Linked DNA regions of Sus scrofa. The protein of the gene in region 2 purifies or fractionates together with the protein of the main gene of each other region. This does not show direct contact. Links are inferred from orthologs where the notes say so. Each region holds a gene or a part of one and is shown on either strand. Other genes may lie near its edges.

Evidence for each region.
Region 1: the proteins of BSG (region 2) and SYMPK purify together in Homo sapiens (co-immunoprecipitation; 3 studies listed by BioGRID and IntAct, counting the BioPlex papers as one, with this or other methods). This does not show direct contact. The link is inferred for Sus scrofa from reciprocal best matches to the Homo sapiens genes BSG and SYMPK.
Region 3: the proteins of BSG (region 2) and ATP2B4 purify together in Homo sapiens (affinity purification with mass spectrometry; 3 studies listed by BioGRID and IntAct, counting the BioPlex papers as one, with this or other methods). This does not show direct contact. The link is inferred for Sus scrofa from reciprocal best matches to the Homo sapiens genes BSG and ATP2B4.

The regions. Positions count from the first base shown.
Region 1 is NC_010448.4:52,176,169-52,184,507, reverse strand, and holds the start of SYMPK (symplekin), read left to right. Parts: upstream 1-4,125; 5' UTR 4,126-4,308; intron 4,309-8,339. Other genes in the region: FOXA3 (hepatocyte nuclear factor 3-gamma), read right to left, coding at 3,190-3,258. UniProt on the Homo sapiens protein: Scaffold protein that functions as a component of a multimolecular complex involved in histone mRNA 3'-end processing. Specific component of the tight junction (TJ) plaque, but might not be an exclusively junctional component. May have a house-keeping rule.
Region 2 is NC_010444.4:77,736,123-77,742,575, reverse strand, and holds the end of BSG (basigin precursor), read left to right. Parts: intron 1-4,072; coding exon 4,073-4,229; intron 4,230-4,695; coding exon 4,696-4,778; intron 4,779-4,924; coding exon 4,925-5,061; intron 5,062-5,131; coding exon 5,132-5,408; exon of another isoform or gene 5,409-5,609; coding exon of another isoform or gene 5,610-5,624; exon of another isoform or gene 5,625-5,902; coding exon 5,903-5,927; intron 5,928-6,081; coding exon 6,082-6,145; 3' UTR 6,146-6,148; intron 6,149-6,221; 3' UTR 6,222-6,292; downstream 6,293-6,453.
Region 3 is NC_010451.4:64,400,993-64,408,670, reverse strand, and holds part of ATP2B4 (plasma membrane calcium-transporting ATPase 4), read right to left. Parts: intron 6,340-7,678; coding exon 6,142-6,339; intron 5,505-6,141; coding exon 5,247-5,504; intron 4,541-5,246; coding exon 4,415-4,540; intron 3,917-4,414; coding exon 3,791-3,916; intron 2,671-3,790; coding exon 2,635-2,670; intron 1,108-2,634; coding exon 946-1,107; intron 1-945. UniProt on the Homo sapiens protein: Calcium/calmodulin-regulated and magnesium-dependent enzyme that catalyzes the hydrolysis of ATP coupled with the transport of calcium out of the cell. By regulating sperm cell calcium homeostasis, may play a role in sperm motility.

The DNA.
Region 1 (8,339 bases), on a different chromosome or scaffold from region 2:
GGTCCCTCTCCCTGGAGGGGTGTCCCATAGCACCGGGGATGGGGGATGCTACTATAGCTGTGATGGGAACCACCTCTCCTATGAGTTAGTGTGTCCCGTCTCATCCCCTTGTCACTAAAGTGTCTGCACATCCAAAGGTCCGGAGGGAAAAGGGAGTTGCCAGGGTCACTTGGGGAGTCAGGGACAGGAGGTAACCAACCCCGGTCTGAGATCCAATAAAGAAAGTGCTCCCTCTCTTTCCCGTGTCTGCTCAGGAAGCTCTTTACTCCTGGCTCTGAATCTCCCTGCTGGCTCCGTGTGTACCTGTCCACCTCCCTCCCTCTCCCTCTCCCCTCCCCACGCTCTCTCCCTTTATCTCTCCCATCTCTCTCTCCTCCATCTCTTTCTCTCCCTCTTCTGCCTTGCTTTCCTCATAACTCTCCCCAAACCCTATCTCTCTCTCCCCATCCCCCCCCCACCTCTCACATCTCTTTTTTTCCCTTCCTTGGCTCTCTCCCGCCACCTCCATCTATCTTTCTCTTTCAGGACATCTTTGCATCTCTCTGCCTCCTTCCCTCAGCATCACCACCTCCCCAGAAGTCTCACCTTGAAATTGGAGCCCCAACTGCTCCCTCCCCCCTGCACTGGTCTCCCCCCGCTGGTTGGCTGGTTCTGGCCCCTCCCCAAGAGTAAGGGAAGAGGGTCCCTCAGAGAGAGGGGAGATGGTGATGGGCTCAGGGGGATCCACAGAGAGTTCCTAAATCCCTCTACCACCCCCTCCATTTCTCCACCTCAATCAGATCAAAGACAGACTGGGACCCCAGAGCCCTCCTCCTCTGGCTCCCCACCCACCCGGAAGTCCTCCTTGAGGTCTGACCTCAAGCATAGCTGTTGCCCTAATCCACCATAGGCTTTCACATGCCCCAGGGCTGGGATGAACCCCCAGTGTCCGGGTCTGAGCCGGATCTCCCTGCGAGGGCGGGGCTGAGATTGGGGGAAGCCCTCAGGGGACCTGCACCCCCACCCCAGGAGGCTGGAATTTCTCCTCTTTCATTTCCTTATTGTCTCCGAAGGAGGGTGTGACGGGGAGCAGAGGGAGGCAGTGTGAAGCCAGAAGCCTAGTTTCGAATCCCAGTCCTGGCCTAAGACTTCATGTGGGGTCTTGCAGACCCCAGGCTCCAAGATTTTAGGTTTTCCATCTCGAAAATGGGGAAGCAGTTGGACCAGCTGATCTGTGAGAAGCTGACGCCTTAGAGAGAACTTGCCAATTTCCTTCCAGACAGGGAGCCAGCCTGGGGGGTCAACATCACCCTGGGAGGGGGCTGTGGTGGGCGAGAAGCAGGTTGGGGGCCCCCTCAGTTCTCAGTCGCCAGGTGAGTACTTTTCTCCCTGCACTGTTGTGACAGGGGTGGAGGTGGGGGACATGGTTCCTCTGATGGGAAAGCTGAGGAAACCTTCAGACGGTGTATTTCCATTTCCTGCCCCCCATGCGTCAACTCTTCCAAAATATGCCCCCAAGTGCTGACCATCTCTAGACTGTTCCTCCATTTCAGAGACAACTTCCATACAACTTGTCCCCTAAACTTCAGACTGTGCCCCAAATAATGACTCCTTTAGCCCAGACCACCCCCCCAGTTTACTTACTAAGGTATGTCCCCCAAAGATTGATTTGTGGTCGGTACCCTTAAATCATGTCCCCAGACTGTGAACTATCCCGGGTGGGGTGGGGGTTCAGCTGGGATCCCCCACTACCTGGGAGCGTCCACCTCCAACCCGGTCTCTGCCTTCCTCCACATGCAACTGACATCTCCAGCCACCCTGCCTCCACTTCTCAACCTTTCCGATCCCTTCCCTGCCCCACCCCACGTGCACCTCACACCTCCTCAGCCCCAGGTCTGGCCCCTCCTGGGCACCATGCCAAGGTCCGCAGGCCTGGGTAGCCAGGAGTCCCACCCTACAGCTTCAAACCCCAGACCCAGGACTTAGACACGCTGGGGCCCCTGGAAACCCTAGATCTTAGTCTCTTTGGAGACTCAACTATTCAAGTCCCACACCCGACTTTGAGCCTACAGTTTCCTTCCAGGTTAGAAACCCAAGTATCCAGATCCCCATAACCCTCTGACTAGGGCTCCCCCCCTGCCTCACACACACATACATACATCAGGTTGACCAGAGAGAGAGTGAGCTAAGGAGAAGGAGTCCTTGCAGCGAGAGGAATGGGAGTTAGACCGGGGAAGGCTTCGCCATTCCCCGGGGCGAGGAACTTAAGATACACCCCTGCTCCCTACTCCAGGGAAGTCTGGTCAGAGGTGGGACTGGTGAGGACATTAGCAATTAGTGGAGATTGCTGGAAGATGGGGTGGGGGGTGTGAAATCTGAAACCCTCCAGACTCCCAACAAGGAGAATCCCTGCTGAGGGTCTCTAATAACAATTAAACCTCTGAAGTTCAGCTGGGAGGGGTGAGGGTCATGATTAGGGATGGGGGAGTGTTACCCCCCTTTGCCGCCAATGCTCTTGCCACATCCCCTGCTCTCAGGATCCCAACTCTGACCCCTTCTGTCTCTAACTGAGCCCCAGTTCCTAAATCACCTGTTATTTCTCACTCTCCAAACCAAGCTTCATCTCTAAGCATTTTCATCTCTTTATCTGAGCCCCAACTCCTACGTCTCACTTTAAAGCAGATGGCAGCCCCAATCCTTATCCTGGAACCCCAATTCTTATTTCTACCCCAGAACCCCCATTTTTAACATTGAACTTTAACCCTGAGCTCTCAGTTCAGACTTCCCTTAATGGTGACCTCCCTCCACCTCCCATCTCTTAGTCCCTACCTTTTCCCCCAATTCTGGACCCCATTTCCTAATCCCCCAGCTCTGAGTCTTATCTTTGGTTTGTTCACTTTAATTCCTCGGACTTTAGGTCCCTGACACCCAGCTCTCACGTTTAAACTATGACTTGACCCTTGCCTAAATCTTCTTGACTCTCTTTTAAGCCCTCACTCCTACTAGACTGCCTAAGCCGCGCTCTCATGCATTGTCCCCCTTTCTTGACTCCTGCACACCTGGTCTTCGTGTCTCCAGTTCCTCTGCTCCCCAGTTCCAGTCGGGGCCCCCATCTGAGTCCATACCCCAGTCCTTGCCCCCCATTTAGATCCGCACCCTGATTCCTCCCCCCGCCCCCCACTTCCCGCTCCGCCATCCCCGAGGACACACCTCGCCCGCCTCCGGATAGTAGCTCCACTCGGCCAGGTCATGGGCCTCCATCTTCACCGAGCCCAGCATCCCCCGGGCCTGCGCCCCCACCCGCCCCTGCTCCGGCCCCGGGGGGATCGCAGCGGCGCTTCGGATCCCTCAGCCGGCACGGCCCGAGTCCTGACCGGCGCCGGTCCGTCCGACCGCCCAGGGTCCCAGCCGTCCCGGGCGCCGCGGGAGGCGGCCGCGCTTTATAGTCGAGACAACCGCTCCCCCCACCCGCCCTTGCCCGCCCTGGGCTCCCCTCCCGCCTCCCCGAGGGCGGTGTGCCCGTACTGGGGCGCCCCCTGCGGGATTGCGAGGAGACAGACCTCAGGCGCCGGGAGCCGCAGCCCGGGGACGTGAGAGCTGGAGATGGCTGAAGAGCGAGGGAGCTACAGATGGGAGATACTTCTGACAGTAATAACAGCCTCGAGGGCAGAACTCTAGGGCCCCACCCTTCTACCCATCTCGACCGGAGCCAGCGAACAGCCAGAGACCAGCATGTCTGCTGCGAAAGAAAGGGCGCTTAGAGGCGAAGCGGTCTCCAGAGATCCCCATGTGTTCCTCTAAGGACAGTAAGTGATCCTCGAAATCACATTTCTCATTCGACGGACTGGAAGACTGAAGCTACTGATCGCCGGAAATGTTGCAGACCGTGTAAATGGCCAAGACCAAAGGTGGAGGGGATCGGGGCCTCTGCTCATATCTCACTAGGGCAACAGACCACTTCCAACACCTAGGAGCTTCGCTTCCGGGACTCTCCGCTCTCTCTAACAGCAGCCGTCCAGGGACCCAGAACCACTGAGAACTCCATTTCCCAGAAGCCTCTATCTCCCTTTCCGTCCAGCCCCCGTCAAAGGACTATATTTCCCAGAAGGCTTGGCGCCCCAAAGCCGGAAATGAAGGGCGTAGTAGGAAGGCCGCTGGCGCGGCAGAAAGTAGGGGCGGAGTCCGGCCGCAGAGTGGACTCCAATTCCCAGCGACTCTGCGTGCGGGACGCGTGCGCAGTGTCACGGCGGCGAGCGGAAGATGGCGGCGGCGGCGTCTGGGAAGAGGCGCTGCTGAGGGGGCGCGAGGGGGACGGAGGCCCGAGCCGTGGTGAGCGGGGGGTGGCGTGGGGGCCCGGGGACGAAGGGAGAAAGAACGCTGAAAGGGCAGAAGCGCTGTCGGGGGCAATGGGGACGCTGAGAGGAGAGGGAAGCAGTGACTCTCGGGACCGCAGTGTCTTCCCCGGCTCAGGACCCTCCCGTGGCTGCTTAGTGCCCTCAGGGCAAAGTTCCAACGTGGCCCCCAAGGCGCGTACGCCCCGCGGGCCGCGGCTCTGCCTCTTTGCTGGTTCCTCACTTTGCACACCTGCTCTGGCCTCTCGGTTCCGCACACTCGCCGTACGCCTTCCCGCCTCAGGCTTTTTGCACATGCAGTCCCCTCTGTCTCAACATCCCTTTTACTCATTCCGCCAGGCTAACTCCCATTCATCTTTTGGGTCTCCGTACCAACGTCACTTCCTCTACCAAGCCCTCCTTTCCCGCCCTCCGTTCCGCAGTCCGCCTGTTTTATGCTCTCATGGGTCCCTGTTCCTTTCCTTTCAGTCATTTGGGGTCTCGTTTGTTATTGGGCCTTTATTTGTGTGGCTCGTTAGTTCTGTCTGTGACCACGAATTCCACGGGGGCAGGGACTGGGTGTGTGTTGGTCACCGCCGTGTTCCCAGCACAGCACGGTTACGCTAAAAATGCTCAGTTAATGTTCGTTGAATGAATGAAAGATAGTCATGGGACCACTCTGTGTATGAGAGGAGTGGTCATACGCCCGGGTGGGAGTAGGGCAGTGGGACTTCCTACTGGACTCCCTAAGGAATACGCGGGGGAGTTCCTGTTGTGGCTCAGCGGGTTACAAACCCACCTAGTATCCGTGAGGATGCGGGTTCGATCCCTGGGCTCGCCCTGTGGGTTGAGGCAAGCATTGCTGGAAGCTGCAGCATAGATCAGACACAGCTTGGATCCAGCGTTGCTGTGGCTATGGTGTAGGCTGGCAGCTGCAGCTCTGATTTTACCCCTAGCCTGGGAACTTACATTTGCTGCAGGTGCGGCCCTAAAAAGCAAAAAAAAAAAAAAAAAAAAAAAAAAAAAAAGTGCTCCAGAGATCCGGAAGAGGAAGAAATGTTTGTTGGTAGTAGCAAAAGACTACAACCACCGCAGATGTCTTTAGTAGGGAGACTGGCGGGGTTGGGGGGCAGTGAGCAGTCACATAATAAAATATTATGCAACTGTTAAAAATAAATGAGGGGGAGTTATCTTTGTGGCTCAGCGGTTAATGATCGCGACCAGGGTACACGAGGATGCTGGTTTGACCCTAGCCTCGTTCAGTGGATTAAGGATCCAGCGTTGCTGTGAGCTGTGGTGTAGATCGCAGAAATGGCTTGGATCTGGTGTTGCTGTGACTGTGGCATAGGCTGGCAGCTGCAGCTCCAATTCAACCCCTAACCTGGGAATTTCCACATGCAGTGGATGCGTCCCTAAACAGCAAAAAAGAAAAAGAAAACGAAAGAAAGAAAGAAAAAGGAATGAGGGGAGGGAGTTCTGGTTATGGCTCAGCAGGTTAGGACCTGACCTTGACCTTGAGGGTGTAGCTTCCATCCCTGGCCTCGCTCAATGGGTTAAGGATCCCGGGTTAAGGATGTTGGAGTAAGCTGCCGTGGAGGTCGCAGATGCCCCTTGGATCCCTTGGATCCCGTGTTGCCATGGCTGTGGCTCCAATTTGACCTCTGGCCAGAGAACTTCCATATGCAGTGGGTGTAAAAAGAAAAAGAAGAAAAAAAAGAAAGAAAAGGAAATATGTGCATACGTTTTGGGGAAAAAAAAAACAAAAAGTGGAAGAGGAAAGACACGGTAAAAAGTTTGGGTGGATCCATGTAGTCTCATCTTGAAAAGAGTGGAAAGGTTCAAAGTAAAAAGGTTCATTATGTTCTGATGGGGAGCAGCAGATACTGGATTATTGGGTGGCCATACCGTTTGACTTGCATGAACAGACCTGGGGTGGGGAAGCAGTTCTTTTTATAGAAGCAGTCCAGCACAGTGGTGAGAAGGCTAGATTCTGCAGCCACCCCATTAGGTCTGCATCTTACAAGTCGTGAGCCTTTGATCAAGTGACTTTACCTACTTGAATTTCAAATTTCCTCATCTGTAAAATGGAGATTAAAAATAGGGAGTTCCCAGGAGTTACTGTTGTGGCACGGCAGAAAAGAATCCGACTAGGAACCATGAGTTTGTGGGTGCGATCCCTGGCCTTGCTCAGTGGGTTAAGGATCTGGCGTTGCTGTAAGCTGCGGTATAGGTCTCAGATGCAGCTTGGATCTGGTGTTGCTGTGGCTGTGGCCGAGGCCAGCAGCTACAGTTCTGATTAGACCCCAAGCCTGGGAACCTCCATGTGCTGTGGGTGCAGCCCTAAAAAGACAAAATAAATAAACAATTAAAAAATAGTATCTAGGAGTTCCTGTCGTGGCGCAGTGGTTAACGAATCCGACTAGGAACCATGAGGTTGTGGGTTCGGTCCCTGGCCTTGCTCAGTGGGTTAACGATCCGGCGTTGCCGTGAGCTGTGGTGTAGGTTACAGACGTGGCTCGGATCCCACGTTGCTGTGGCTCTGGTGTAGGCCAGTGGCTACAGCTCCGATTCGACCCCTAGCCTGGGAACCTCCATATGCCGCGGGAGCGGCCCAAGAAATAGCAAAAAAAAAAAAGACAAAAAAAAAAAAAATAGTATCTACCTCAGGAGTTCCCATTCTGACTAAGCAGTAATGAACCCGACTGGTATCCATGAGGACTCAGGTTCAATCCCTGTCCCTGTTCAGTGGGTTAAGAAGCTGGTGTTGCTCTGAGCTGTGGTGTAGGTCACAGATGTCGTTCGGATCCCCTGTTGCTGTGGCTGTGGTATAGGCCAGCAGCTACAGCTCCTGCTGGACCCCTAGCCTGGGAACATCTGTATGCCATAGGAGTGGCCCTAAAAAGACCAAAAAAAAAAAAAAAGAGTGCCTACCTCACAGAGTTGGTGTTGTGGGTTTAAATAAATTAATATGTATTAGAATTGTGCCCAGCGCATTTTAAATGTTCAATAAGTATTACCTGTTTTTCTTTCTTTTGTTTTTCCCCACGCATTTTAGAGCCAAAAGGTAGGGATACTAACCAAGCCCAGTGATGGTTGAAGCCCTTTGGCATTTGCTCAGCAGATTTTTCTTGAACACTTACTAGATGCCAAGCAGTGTTCCATGCTGGGGCTAGAGAAAGTGAACACACAACACATACACACAAATCTCTGAGAACCTATAAACATGTTTGTGTTGATGATAATAAATGCCATGGAGAAAAACAAAGTGACACAGATGGAGAGGGAGAGGAAATTGCAGTTTGAAATAGGATGGTCAGAGAAGACCTCACTGCTGGGATATTTGAGTTGAGACCTGAAGGAAATAAGGAGGGAGAGCAGAGAGAAATGAGGGCAGAGATAGGAGGGGCCAGATCACATAAAGTCTAGGCTTTGACTAAGTGAGATGTGGCCGTGATAGGCTGCACGGAGACTGGAAAGGACACTGGTGTGTTCATTCAGCAGATACCTTTTGAATTAACTACTCTGTACAGCATATTGTGTTTCTTTTAAAAGATGCATCTTTTGAAGTTCCCCTTATAGCGCAGAGGAAACGAATCCAACTAGGAACCATGAGGTTTCGGGTTCGATCCTGGGCCTCATTCAGTGGGTTAAGGATCCATCGTAGCTGTGGCTGTGGTGTAGGCTGGCAGCTATAGCTCCAATTCGACCCCTAGCCTGAGAATATCCAAATGCTGCGGGTGTGGCCCTAAAAAGACAAAAGACAAATAAATAAATAGAAAGCATCTTTTTCACCTTCCTCAGATTATTTACTGCTTATGCAGTAGCCTTTAGGTCAATAAAAATAGTAGCTGTACTTATCTCATGTTTACTATGTATACTAACTCCTCCTCAGAATAGTCCTGGGAGGTAAACACTGTTACCATCCCTGTATTACAGAAGAGGCAGCTGACACCCAGTTTTTTGCCTCAGGTTATTCTGGGTTACAGACACAAACTTGGCCAAAGTTGGTTGAATTGTATACATTTTCCT
Region 2 (6,453 bases):
GCGGTAGACTGTGGGGTGGGAAGACGTGTTTTAGAGAATGGTCTTTGGAAGATGGATTAAGGCGTGTTTTCCCCGGAGAAAGCAAGCCCTCCCATTCTCTCTTTTGCCTGAGAGGGAGACATTTTCTTCCCGAATCGATGGGGACTTCGTTTGGTTCTCAGTTAACAATTCATAGTGAGCGGCAGGGAGAGAACAAAGTGCAGACCAGCTGGGCCTGAGACTTCCCCCTGGGGGAAGCAGGAGTGTGCCAGCTTCTATCCTCAGTGGCTGCTGTTATAGCAGGAAACTGCATAGGGCTGGGCAGGGCCTGGGAGGGGCTGCTTCTTGTAAAAGCTTCACCAGCTTTTCAGTAAGTGGGTTACCCGTGACCCACTTCAAGGCCTCAGTTTCTTTCCTTTTCCTTATAATCACAATGGGCATTTATTGACCGCCTCTGGGCAAGGGCACGGCCCCTGGCAGGCGCGCTGCCTGCTCTCTTTGGGAAGAGGAGCCCCAGGCAAGATGAGTGCCCTTTAGATGCAGCCCTGGCCAGAGGGAAGGGAGGGCCTTCCATCTTCCTCTGCTGGGAGCACTACTCCTCTGTCATCACCTTGGGGCTGTCCTCAAATACGCACATCACCTGGGGTGTGTGCAGTTGGTAGTCCTGGTGAATTTATGCTGTGTCTGTGCCTTAGCTTTCCCTTTTCACTTCCTGCCTTTCCCAGGGACTAGGGATGACCTAAACGTCTGGGTCATGGGTCCTTTTTCCACCTGGGGTGAGTGAGTGGCAGTGTTTGCCTCTCCTGGCCAGGTCAGCTCTCTAGAAACTTGCTTCGGAGGACTCTGCCAGGAGTGGTGTCCTCAGCACCTTTGTCACCTGAGGCTCCAGGATGATCCTCCTGTAGGAGACCCTGGCTCCCCAGGATTGTGCAGGGTCCTGTCGTCCTGGGAGGGCTGGGGAGACCAGCACAGGCTTGCTAGCTGGGTGCCCCTCTGAGCCTCAGCTAAGGGGCTTTGGGAACCTCCTCCAAGCAGGGTTGGGGGGGTAAGGAGTTGAGGCTGGTATCCCAGGAATGTTCTCCATTACCTAGCTGCCGCATCCTGAACACTTCAGGCTGTTTACTGCCAGGCTGCCTGGCCTCATGCCGGCCCAGCCACCAAGTGGGCACGGAGGAGAGTGGCTGTTTTTAGATGAAGGTGACTTTACTTGAGAACGTGGGTTACAAGTCACTTGGCCAGAATTGAGTTTTCACTTTTCTGGGGAGGAGGGTCAGGCATCTCCCTGTTCCTGGTGCTCTGGGAGGACAAGCTGCTGCCCATGGCCAGGGGCCTCTAGTTTCTAGGGGTGCTGCTGCCTTGGGCCTCCTGGAGGGTCGGTGTGGCTGAGGTTGTACTTTTCACTCCAAGGAGCATTCTGAGGCATTCTTCCTAATGGTCCTGTCCAGTGGCCTGTTAGTGTCACAGAGTAACATCACCTGTGGCAGCATTTCTGTGGTCACCCTGGGAGGGCCACCGCCACAGTAGCCTACTTGGAGTGACCCGGCCCTGTTTTATGGTTGACTGGGATGTGGCAGATCACAGGGGGCTTCTTGGGCGGACAGGCTGGCAGTGGCCAGATGGGGCACCTGGCTGGTTCCCCAGCTGTCTGTGGACCTTGGGTGAGGGCAGGGGTGTCAGCCATGGGGCAGCCCAGGAGGCCCCTCCTGGGAGGGTTGGGGTTGGTTAGCTCTCAGCCCCTCTCTTAGAGCTAAGGCCTCCCACCTGACTGCCACCTAAAAGTGGCCTGCAGGTACTTCTTTCTCCCCCAGGAGGCCGGGTGGGGCCTGGACAAGACCTGACTAATCTTTCTAGAAGCTCCTGGGTGCCCAGGTCTCCTGGAGAGAGGCAGGTCCCGTCTGGGAGAAGGGCTGCTTCTGGCCTGACTTCCTACCCTGCTCACCAATCCCAGCTCTGCTATAGGAGCTGCTGGTTCTGCAGTCTTGGGAAATCTTGACTGGAGAAGTGCAGGTTGCCAGGGGGCCTTCTTTGGTGAAAGTGGTATAGAGGTGAGCATCCAGCCTCATGCCCTATCTGGCTGTAACTGCTTGGCCTGAGGCTTGAGTTGCCTTTTGGTGGCCCCAGGTGGGCAGATGTGAAGGTCGGCTTGTCCCCAGGACCTTGTGGCCAGTAGCTGTGCTCACCCACACAGCCTGGGAACTCTGAGCACACGTGCCTGTGAGTGTGTGTATGTGTGTATACACAAGTAGCTACAGGTGTGGACCGCTAGGGGCCTCCTTGCTCTCCCCCTGGCACTGCCATCTAGTTTTTTGCTTCCGTCCCTGCTGACCTGGGCCTCTGAGACATCCTGTCTTCTCTTAAAGAAAGACCCAGTGGGTAGCCAGAGGTGGGGCACTGAGGCCTGGCCATGCACACATCCTGTCCATGGGCTGGCCTTGGGTCCCACCTCTACACCAAGAGGCCAGCGTCCCGCAGGCTGGAAATGCACCTGGGGAGCCAGGGCCCTCCTGTGGCCAGTCCATAGTGGGACAGAGTGGAGCATGGTCAGCCCAGCAAGAACCTAACAGGCAGGCCTGGGCAGGACCCATGTCCTCCAGGCCCGGATCTCAGATGCCTGAAGAGGACACAGTGCACTCTGTCTGCAGCCGTTCCAGAAAGTGGCTTGATGGGAAAGTCTGGCTTGGGATCCGGGCTTTCATTTTCCTAGCAGCTAAGGCGTCCCTGTGGACGGAGGGAGCCCAGGCCAGCCCTGCTCATGTGTGAGTGTGAACCTGGTATCCTCTGCAGCCAGGTACCCTCTTCTCTTGCTGTGGGGATATCTTTCCTCGGGACTGAGGTTCGCTGATCTGACTGCCAGGTGGCTAAGGTGACTGTCCAAGTGGGGGTCACGACCTCTGATCATTCCACCCAGTTTCGTGTGTTTTTTCTGTGCTCGCATAGTTACACTGTCAGAAGTCACCATGTAACCCCAGGGAGGAAGCAAGGACCTAGGGAGGGTGGCTTGCCCAGTGGGTGTTAAGAGCTGCTGCCTGGCTGCCGGCCTGTCGTCTGTGTCCCTGTAGCTGCTTTCCCCTCAGTGCCTTCTTACTTGGCTGGGTTGTTCAAGTACAGGCTTGTATTCTGCTCTTTCACCTGACTTTACACCACAGGCTTCTTCCTGGGCTGGCTCTCAGCCCGTGTCCTGTGTCCATGACCTTCTCCAGGGGATGCCTCTGAGATATGTGAGGGTGGGTGGCCTTTCCAGAGGGTCACTTCTGGGTAGGCTAACAATTGCGCTAACACTGCTGTGCCTCAGACCCACCTTTATAAAGTCCCCACCGTCCCCAGGGACAGTGTTGTCTGCTCTGGGACAGGGCTGTAGTGTGGCTACTCCACTGATGGGGGTTGCAGCCCTGCCCGGCAAAAGGGTTCTTGTTCTGATCTGCTCTCCTGATCCCAAACACATGGAGGTCTGGGGTCTCATGCCCCAGGGCCCTCCCTGCAGAGGAATCCTCCCAGCTCAAGCCCAGTCTCTCAGCTCTCATAGCCATGTCTCTTACTGTCTAGTTCTAAGTGTTTTCTATGTTTTGGTTCCTAAAGAAAACATTTTCGAGGACGGGGTGGTTTACCTGCTTAGAAACCAGTGGAAGGGCTGCCGGCTGTTCCAAGGCTCTGGGGGTCACCCCAGCCTCACAGGCAGGAGGAAACAGCACACCTGACCCACCTCAGACGGCCTGCCTTGATCAGGGGAGGGGAGATGCAACGCCACCCAGAGGGGATGGTGACCTGGGCAGCAGTAGACTGACTTTCCAAAGGGGCATTTGGGGTCTGCTGGCGCTGGACCCTGCAGTCACTGTCTTGGTCCTTGTACCCAGACCAGGGTGGGCGCTGCTTCTGTTCCCACACCTAGGCCCAGCCAGTTGAGACCATTCCTCCCAGAATCCTGCCTCTGACCCCGAGGGGAGGTCCTTCCAGGGGCCCCACAGTGCTCAGCTCTGTGAACCAGCCCTGGCTTCTCCCTCTGTGCGGTCGGGGTTGGGACCACTCGGGTTTGCCATGGGGACAAGCAGCCAGTGGCCTGGGTTCTTCCCTTTTCACCTTATCTTTGGCTGCCCAGGGAGCAGGATCTGGACCTCGATAGATGATGTTGGCTCCAAAACACGCCTCACCTGTGCCCTGAATCACAGCGCCACTGAGATCGCGGGCCACCGCTGGGAGAAGGGGGGCAAGGTGCTAAAGGAGGATGCGCTGCCTGACCTGAGGACAGAGTTTGAGTGAGTGAGGCCCTCCCAGCAGGGAAGGGGCTGGGGCCTGATCATGGGGCGGGGTCAGGGCTGCTGGCCCTGCCTGCTCTGACCTCTCCTGGCCGCCAGGCCTTGGCCAGGCTGGAGGTTGTAGTTGTGGCCTGGCTTTGCACACATTAGAAACAGGCTTGGGCTGAGGTCTGGGACCCAGCAAGGGGCAGCTGGCTGCAAGACTTCATCACCTCTCAAACCCATCCCTCCTTCCTGTGAGATGGGGTCTGGGCACTCCAGGGACCAATGTGACACCCAGTTTGGGACGAGGAGTGGCTCCAGAAGCCTAGAACACTGCTATGAGCTTGGAGGGTGGTGGGGCCAGGCTCCCTGATGTGGAGTGATCCTGCCTGCTGCCCCGCACACCCCTGGTCCCTGTTCTCTGGGGCTGCCTGTCCGGTGGAGGTTTCAACAGGCTGCTTCTCTCATACCATGTCTGCTACAGGGTGGACTCAGACGACCGCTCAGGCCAGTACTCCTGCATCTTCCTGCCAGAGCACGCGGGCCGCACAGACCTGGAAGTGAAGGGTGGGCTCCCCTGGGCTCTGCAGGGCAGTGTTGGAGGGGAGGTGGGGTGCGGGAGGGACGCATGCGCAAATCCTAATCCAGATGGGGGCAGGGTGTTTCCACCTCTGTCCTCCACCTGGTTAGGCTCCTGCCTGCTCTCCCTGCAGGGCCACCTAATGTCAAGGCTGTGAAGAAGTCAGAGCACGCTACCGAGGGGGAGACCGTGGTGCTGGCCTGCAAGTCGGACTCCTTCCCGCCAGTCACCGAGTGGCTATGGTACAAGATGAGTGACTCTGGGGACCAGGTGAGGCTTGCACCGGCCAGGGAGGGCTTGAGCCCCGCTGCGGCCCTCCACAACATCTGCCTGCCCCCAGGTCATCGCCAACAGCTCCCAGAACAAGTTCTTCGTGGTCTCCTCGGAGACCAAGACAGAGCTGCACATCCCAGACCTGGACCTGAAGGAGGACCCGGGCAAGTACGCGTGCAATGGCACCAGCTCTGAGGGCACCGGCCAGGCGGTCATCGTGCTGCGTGTGCGCAACCGCTTTGCCGCCCTCTGGCCCTTCCTGGGCATCGTGGCTGAGGTGCTTGTGCTGGTCACCGTCATCTTCATCTATGAGAAGCGGCGGAAGCCGGATGAGGTCCTGGATGGTGAGCTGGCCCTATGTGCCTTCTGCTCCTCTTCTGGGTGGGGACACCATGGGGCTAGGGCGGCGGCCTGGAGTGTGGGGCTGAGGGTCAGCCCCCTCGGCCACTGTCCCGGAGACTCCCGGAGGCCCTGCCCCTTCCCTGGCTGAGGGTCTGTGGCCACACAGCCTCACTTGCCTTCTCTCCTCCCTCCTGGGCTGCCAGTGGGCCTCCTCCATGGTGAGTGCCCTTGTGTGGCTGCTTGGGGTCCAGGGCTGTGGTGCCAAGCAAGCCCAGACCTTGCATGATGGGGCAACTGGGACCGGGGCATCTGCCTGCGGGCTGGGGTTGGGGACACAGACAGCCCTCCCAGGTGCCCTTCATGCTGCTACCCTGGAGAGCTCACTTGAGGGTGCCTGTCACAGGGGTGTGCCGGATCCCCACGTGTTCGATGGGCAGCATAGGGCCTGCTCTGCTAACTCCCCCCTCCTCTTTTGCATGTGCTGCCCCTTGCACAGATGAGGACACCGGCTCTGCTCCACTGTGAGTCTCGGGCTTGTGGAGGTAGGGGGGGCTGGCGGGTGTGCCCCTGGCAGGGCTTGGAGGAGCTTCCCCTGCACACCTGGGGTGTTTCTGGTAGGCGGGGCAGGGGGGAGTTAAGGGTGTCTTGTCCTGACACGCCGTCTTGCATCCCCAGGAAGAGCAGTGGACACCACGTGAATGACAAAGGCAAGAACGTTCGCCAGAGAAATGCCAGCTGAGAGGTGAGTGGCGGGGGGGGGGGCAGGGCGGGGGCAGGGCTTTGGGCTAGGGTCTGAGCACCCTCCTTTCCTGCAGGTGCTGAGCATGAGTCTGCATGGGCACGCCAGCCTGTCTGGAGGAGCCTGGTGTTCCCCTGGTGTTTGCACAACCCCACGTTCCTTCCTCTTAAGGAAACCCGCCCAGCAAAAGCAAACCACCTTGTGTGTTCAAATCACACATCTTCTCTTCTTTTTCACAAAACGAAGCTAGGGTTTTCTATGTGTAGAATCCTGTCCCTCGGGGGTTTTGCTTCCCTTTTTAAACATTT
Region 3 (7,678 bases), on a different chromosome or scaffold from region 2:
TAGATATGGCATTCCTGTGGCTGTGGCACAGGCTGGAGCTCCGATTTGACCCCTTGCTCTAGGAGCTTCCATATGTCACAAGTGCAGCCCTAAAAAGGAGGGAAAAAAAAAGGAAAGAAGGGAGAGAGAGGAGGAGAGTGCAGAAGAGAGCGATGGAGAAGCCACTGCCTGTGACAATACATAGGGGTGCCTGTGTGACCTCTGCTCTGAAAAGAGCTTCTTTAACAACTGCCTTCCTTTTCCCACTAGTCCTTATTTTGAACTGACTGCTCTGGGCCTGGCCAGATGCTACTACTTACTTTGCTAGGGAATTGCCCTCAGCCAACAGCAGCCTTCTCTAACCTTCAGGAATTTACGAGGCAAGACAGGAAACAGGTGAGCAGTTATTAAAGACTTCCTTTTTTTTTTTCCCTGTCTTTTTGCCTTTTCTAGGGCTGCTCCTGCGGCATATGGAGGTTCCCAGGCTAGGGGTCTAATAGGAGCTGCAGCCACCAGCCACAGCCACAGCCACAGCAACATGGGATCCAAGCCACGTCTGCAACCTACACCACAGCTCACGGCAACACCAGATCCTTAACCCACTGAGCAAGGCCAGGGATGGAACCCGCAACCTCCTAGTTGGATTTGTTAACCACTGAGCCACGACGGGAACTCCAAAGACTTCCTTCTTGCCGATATAAATCTCCCCTGTGGACTATCAGTTCTTTACTTCCCATTTGTTTGGGCCTTTAACCCTCACACATAGGAAAATATCTCTTTCTTCAAACGCCAAGGGAACGGCCACATGGTCACAGGGAGGGACTTAGCTACCCAGATTGCACTAGCCACTGGCAATTTTCAGCTTCTTTCTCCTAGACCTGGTTGGTGTAGAAAGAAGACAATCAAAGCAGCAAGGATCCGAAATAGCACCGATGAACAGCATCGAGAGGGCTCCACCCTACTTACCAGCTTTCCCAATCTGAACAGCCAAGCGCGTCAGCTTGCCTTGCAGCACCGACTTCTCCTTTTTGGGCAGCTTGGCAGCCTTTTTCTCCTTTTCCTCATTGTCGATTCCCTCCTGGCTGTTGAGTGGCTGAATTTCCAAGGCCACTCCATCCTGAGTCTTTGCTAGGGTGTACACACAAACAGAACAGGTGAGTAGGCCAGGTAGTAGCACTGCGTAGCAGGTAGGTGGAAACTAACAAACCCTCCGTCTTATTCCTGGAATATACCTTGGAGCCTTGACTTCAGGTCTGACCACCCTCACTCCATGCCAGACAGGGAACTTGCCTTTCGACCATCTATAAGGGCCTTGGGAATGATATCTGAACAACTAGAGGTGAAATGGATACTTTTGGGGCATGGATTTCCTCTTCAGTGGCAGCTTCTTGGCACTACGTCAGAGCCCCAGGCCAGGTTCGTTGTTCCAGCAAGAGGATTAGTCATGCCACTAAGTGCTGTTACCAACAACCATCCTTCCTGGAATTCAGTGCTTAAAATAATGAGTCTTTACTTCAGAAAGGGGCTGAAGGGGGACGCTGTAGATGTTTCCAGAGCATCGGGGTCCTAGTCAGCTCTTTAAAAGGTGCATCTCTCTCTCTCTAGACTGTCATGGAAGAAACACAGAACACAGGCTATCTCCCAGCTCCCCCTTGTGTTAACTGAACGACAGGGGAAGGAAATCTCCCCTGTCTGACGAAGGCAGGGGGATACAGAGTGGGACCTGGGGGAAAGGGAAGAAGCTGGTGTGAGGGACTCCCTGGAATAAGAGAAAGCAGGAATAAAGACAGACATAAATCCATTTTGCTTTAAAAAGAAGAGTTCAAGGAATCTAAAATTAAAGAATTATTTCTGTGGAGCCCTGGGTTCGCCGAAGTGATGACTTTATTCTGAAGACTACCATGACGTGGGTTACAAAAGGAAAAAAATCTCTAGGCGCTGTCTCAAGAGAGTGGTTCTTGTTGGTTTCCAACAGCCCTCCAACTTCACCCCTGCAGAGCTTGACCCCTTTGGTTAGATGCCCTTCCTGAGATATTATTGTCTCTGTTGTCACACTCACAAACAAGACAGAGACAGGATGTAAACACGGCCACCAAAAAAGAAACACACATCAGATTAGGAGGAAGAAAACAGACTGTGGAGAGAACAAGGAAAGAGGTGGGGAAAGAGGTTACGTAGAAAGGGCTCTGTCCACCCTGGAGAAGACGAGCAGAGAAGGAATCCAGACCGGAAGAGGACACCGATGAGGAAGCTGGCAAGAGGAGGGTGCAGGGACTGCCCATCCCAACTCCCTCCACCATATGCACCCTGAAGCCTTCCAACCCAGAAATTGATGCCTTGTGGTGTTTAAATCCGGTATGGGGCAATGAGGCAAAGAGCTCAGTACCCTGGGAAGAGCAGATTTGCTCCCCCAAGAGAAACTTTGACATGAGGTTCCTTGAGCCAACAGCAGAGGGTGCTGTTGTCCCAGCTTCGATTGGGTTTGGGAGCTTGCGACCATCCCCAAATCTCTGCACCTTCCTCGGGATAAGGGATCCCGGCCACAGCAGCAGATAACAGATTTATGGAGAGGAAAAGGGAGAAGGCAGATGGCCTGGAAAGGTCTGGTTTGAGTGTGGCAGGTAGAAATGGTAAATGAGTGGGTGGAGAGGTTACCTTTGTTGCGATTTTCAGGGGCTCCTTGTTTTTTACCTGTTTGAACAAGAAAGAAAAAAGTGGGGTGGAGACCCAAAGTGACTATTAAGAGATCAGACAGTCAGATCTCTTAATCTGACTGGTCCTGCTCAGAGCCCAAACGGGCGACAGCAAAGGGGCTGAGTTGCAGGGCAGGGACTGCAGTGGAAGCTGGCATCTCCGTTTACATCTATAAGGGGCTCCTCCTCGAGATCTGGACCAGACCACTCATCCACAAGCACGCACACCCACTTCCGAGCTGCCTTCTCCTGGAGCACGGCTGGCCTGAGTCATATCACTTTTCTCCTGGCCTGCGTCACATCACTTGGAGAACGGCAGTGGGGGTTAGGAAGTGAGAGGTTTGGACTTTTTCTGGCTGATGGCAAAGGCCCTGAAAGGTGCCTCCATGTCATTTCGCCAGCACCAGGCAAGCCTCCTCCCGACTCCCTTGCAAGCAGCTGCAGAAATAGTCTAGTTCCTGAGCAGATGTGTTTCGTTTCCTTTTCCTTAACTGTCCTCCACTCAACTGCCCAAGATGGACCACGAGCCAAGGGAAGAGGAATGCTTAGGGAAAGGGGTAGATTTGCTTTAGCATCTTTTTTGCCTTCTGTTTTTCTTTCAGGAACAAGTGAACGGTAAAGACAAAGCTAACTCCTGGATGGACATTCCCTCTCTATTCCCACTCTCCTGGCCACGTCTCCCTTCCACCAACAGCCTGTAGTTTCAGCAGTTTCTTCTCCCGGATAGTTTTCCCTTAGCCTCGATGGTGCTTATAATCCTCCATGTCTGAGGAAGAAAGGGGGAAGGGTCGGAGGACTCCACAGAGGGGGTCTGGGGCCAGAACCCCTCACCAGCTCATTTGGGGCAGGCCCTCCACCTCATTCCTTTACAATCCACCAACAGATGCAGGAATCGAGGCTCAAAGGCAACCTGGTTTGGGAGCCTAGAGCCAGGATCTGATTTTTAGGAGCGCACTGTGGGGAGCACAGCTTATCTTGGCAAGGGGTTTGGATACAAGCCCTCGTCATCCAGCGGATTCTTCCACCCAGGTCCTCTCCAACCACATCTGCTCCCTTCCCTAGTTTGTCCATGCGGATGGGAGCGAGGAAAGGGATGCTCATCCCGAAAGCCCCTTTACCTTTCTTCTTCTTCTCCCCTTCTTCCCCTTCACTGGCCCCCAAGAGGGTAAAGATGATTCCAGTCTGAGAGTTGATACCCACAGCAGTCACTACCATTCGGCCAGAACCTTCCATGACATGGGTCCCTATATGAGAAAGAAGATGGGAGAACTGTTGGTCTTTTTTTTTTTTTTTTTTTGGCTGCACCTGCAGCATAGAGCAGTTCCCAGGGCAGGGATAGAATCCATGCCAATCACAACGCCAGATCCTTAACCCACTGTGCCACCAGGGAACTCCCAATAAGTGGCTTTTATACCCAGCCAAACTTTAGTGTGAAACATGAACTTGAGAGCAAGCAAAAGGGGGGAGGAGAGCAATGTGTCTAACTGCTTTAGGGTAAGGCTCCTTTTCCCACCATCCAAGCCTGGCCAGCAGGGCCCTTCCCAGACCCTAAAGCACTGGCTTCGCAGACAACCTCTTTGAGGTTGCCTGATATCCTTATAGTCAACCTACTAATATGCTGCTTTCCCCATTGAACTTGGGGCAGGAGATTGGGCAGGGCCAGGAGAGAACGAGGTCTGGATATGATCTCTGTGTCTGTCTGGGGGAGGCAGAATGGGAACTGGCATAGCCAGGGGCCATACCTGAGAGCAACATGGGGTCTCTTTCCAAGGATTTCTTGACATGGTCTGATTCACCAGTCAGAGAGCTCTCATCAATCTTGAGATCATTCCCCTGGATCAGGATCCCATCTGCGGGCAGCAGGTCACCTAGTACACAGAAGGGAAGGAGCAACAGGGCAAGAGGGTAGGTTAGAACCTGCTGGAGGGTGAGGACCATCTAACCCCATCTCAGGGCTGCTCCCATAGGCCCCACCTATAGGGCAATGGCCCACAAAGTATCTGCAGAGCCTTTGAAAGACAACTTCAGCTCTGACAATCTGGGATAACATTCTTCTTCAGGTATTATGTATTCAAACAGTTACCTTCCATAGCCTGAATATTACATACTTTTAATTTTTTTAATTTTTTAGGGCCACACTTGAGGCATATAGAAGTTCCCAGGCTAGAGGTCAAATCCGAGCCATAGTTGCCAGCCTACACCACAGCCATAGCAATGCCAGATCTGAGCCACATCTGCGACCTATACCACAGCTCATGGCAACACTAGATCCTTAACCTGCTGAGTAAGGCCAGGGATCAAACCCACACCCTCAGGGATACTAGTGAGCCACAGGGAACTCCCTGAGTATTACATAGTTTTAACCTAAGACACACAAGGTTAAATCTTTGGGGAGAGGTTTATTTACTGCTTTCTTTGAACTTCTTTCCCACAACCTCCTCAAACTCTAACCTAAAAACTAACACAACGTTGGGTCTTTTTGGGTCCTCGGCAATTCCCAGCTCCCCCACACTGGCAAAGGCCCTAAACCTCAAATAGGGAGGGTGGCACAGGGACAAGAAACAGCGGTCTCACCGTATTTGATTTGGGCAATATCACCCACCACGATCTCGGCCACAGGGAGCTGGATGATGTGACCATTTCGGATAACGGAGAATTTCTGTTCCTTTTCAATGCGGTTCTGCAGCCCCCGGAACTGTTTCTCTTTGCTCCAATCATTGAAGGCAGTCACTAGCACCACGATGATCACTGAGAATAGGATGGCTGCCCCCTCAATCCAGCCGGCTTCTGCCTCTCCTTCGTCTTCTGGGCTACTTACGGGTAGACCACACTCTAGCCCAGGGAAAGGAGAGAGAGGAAGGGTCACCACGGGCTTTTGCTGACATTAAGAAGGAGGCTTGTGCTTCTGCAACCCTCCCCCGCCCCCTGCCCCGATAGAAAGTGAGGGAAAGGGAATAACAGAAAACTCTTGGGTAGAATGGCTTTCCTCTGAGGATGCTGAGGACAGCAGGATTGGTCACCATCCCCTCACCAATATAACTATATATGTTCACCCCCAATGAAGCACGTGACAAAATAGCATGAGACATGTCCATGCACATTGCAGGCTAGTCACATATAAAGAACTTAGGACCCCCAGCATGGGAGCTCCCAAGGCTGCTTCCCATGACGTCACACACCTGGGGGGAGGGTGGACTTTCAGACTCGGGGCTTTGTTGGTCGAGTGAGGGTTGAAAATTCATGACATTACGAACAAAGATTTGATGGGAGAAGGGGAAAAAGGCCCTGGAATCGGGATGGGTTGGAAGACTAGCTTACTCGCTACTTGTTAAGTTTCCTTTGGAGAACCCCCTCTGGATAATCGGGGGAAATTTTTAAGTTATAATTTGAAACACCAAGACTAGGTGCTTTTGGGTGGTGATGGAAAGGACCCAGATCAGGGTGGTGCTAGGCTCTTCAAGACACTCACGTTCATTTTCTTCCCCAGGGGGGCGGTAGAAGGACAGGACCAGGGAGATGATGGCTGCAATCTCCAGGATGATGAGCGTGACATCTTGAAGGGCTTCCCACACTAATTCCAAGAACGTCTTGGGCTTTTTGGGGGGAATAAAGTTCTGCCCAAACACTTGTTTACGTTTCTCCAGATCTGCAGGGTTCCCAGATAGACCTGAAAAAGAGATAGAAGTGCGGTGAAGGAGCAAGAAAAAAGACAAAAAGATGAATGACAGACGAAGGTAGTTAAAAGATCACTTTAAAAAAGATCCCTTTTAGAGTTCCCGTCATGGCACAGCGGAAATGAATTGATTAGGAACCATGAGGTTGCAGGTTCGATCCCTGGCCTTGCTCAGTGGGTTAAGGATCTGGCGTTGCCGTGAGCTGGGGTGTAGGCTGGCAGCAGCAATAGCTGCAATTCGACCCCTAGCCTGGGAACCTCCATATGCAGCAGGTGCAGCCCTAAAAAGAAAGAAAGAAAAAAAAAAGATCCCTTGCTTCCTGATCTGTGCAAGTATGAGGATCCAGGTAGGGTGACCAACAACTTCAATTTGCCCTGGACTCAGTGGGGTGTGAAACCAGTACAAGCTGGTCACAGGGGCCACTCACTCTTCTTGGTCTCTAGGGTAAGCGAACCCAGGCCTAAAACTTTATCTCCCCCTCACTGAGTTTGCTCTAGGCTTCAGCTCTAGGAACACAGACATTAAAATATCTCCTGGGACGTATACAGAACTTTTCTCTCACATTAACATGTAAGTGCTGGTCATGATTTAAAAACAGAGCTGGCTTCCATCCACTGGCTCATACGCAAAGGCCAGAAAGAATAAGCTATCTGCTCAAAGTCATATTAGGAGGTGAAGAGACAGAGCCCAACCAATTGTCCTGATTCCAAGTTCCAGTGGCTTTAGGAGATCAACAAAGCGGAGGCTTCGAGACTCTAACTCTGGGCATCTCCTTTAAGCACACATGGCCATCCTTTTCTGTCACACACAGAAGCACGCACACACATCACTAAGAGGTAGTACTGCTTATACAGACTATGTACTTAGAGATGTACTAAGTACGACTTAGACAAAGTACTAAGAGAAGCATACTATTCAGGTTGAATAAAAAGAAAATAATAGGGAGTTCCTGTTGTGGCTCAGTGGTTAACGAATCCGACTAGGAACCATGAGATTGTGGGTTCGATCCCTGGCCTTGCTCAGTGGGTTAAGGATCTGGTGTTGCCATGAGCTGTGGTGTAGGTCACAGATGCGGCTCAGATCTGGCATTGCTGTGACTGGTGTAGGCTGGTGGCTACAGCTCCGATTCGACCCCTAGCCTGGGAACCTCCATATGCCACAGGAGCGGCCCAAGAAATGGCAAAAAAGACCAAAAAAAAAAAAAAAAAAAAAAAAAGAAAGAAAGAAAGAAAGAAAAAAGAAAACAATAAAGGTGAAACTACTGAGTTAGACAGAATTCAGCCCTTGACTACCACCAGCACATGCCCCACTAACACACATGTATGATTATAC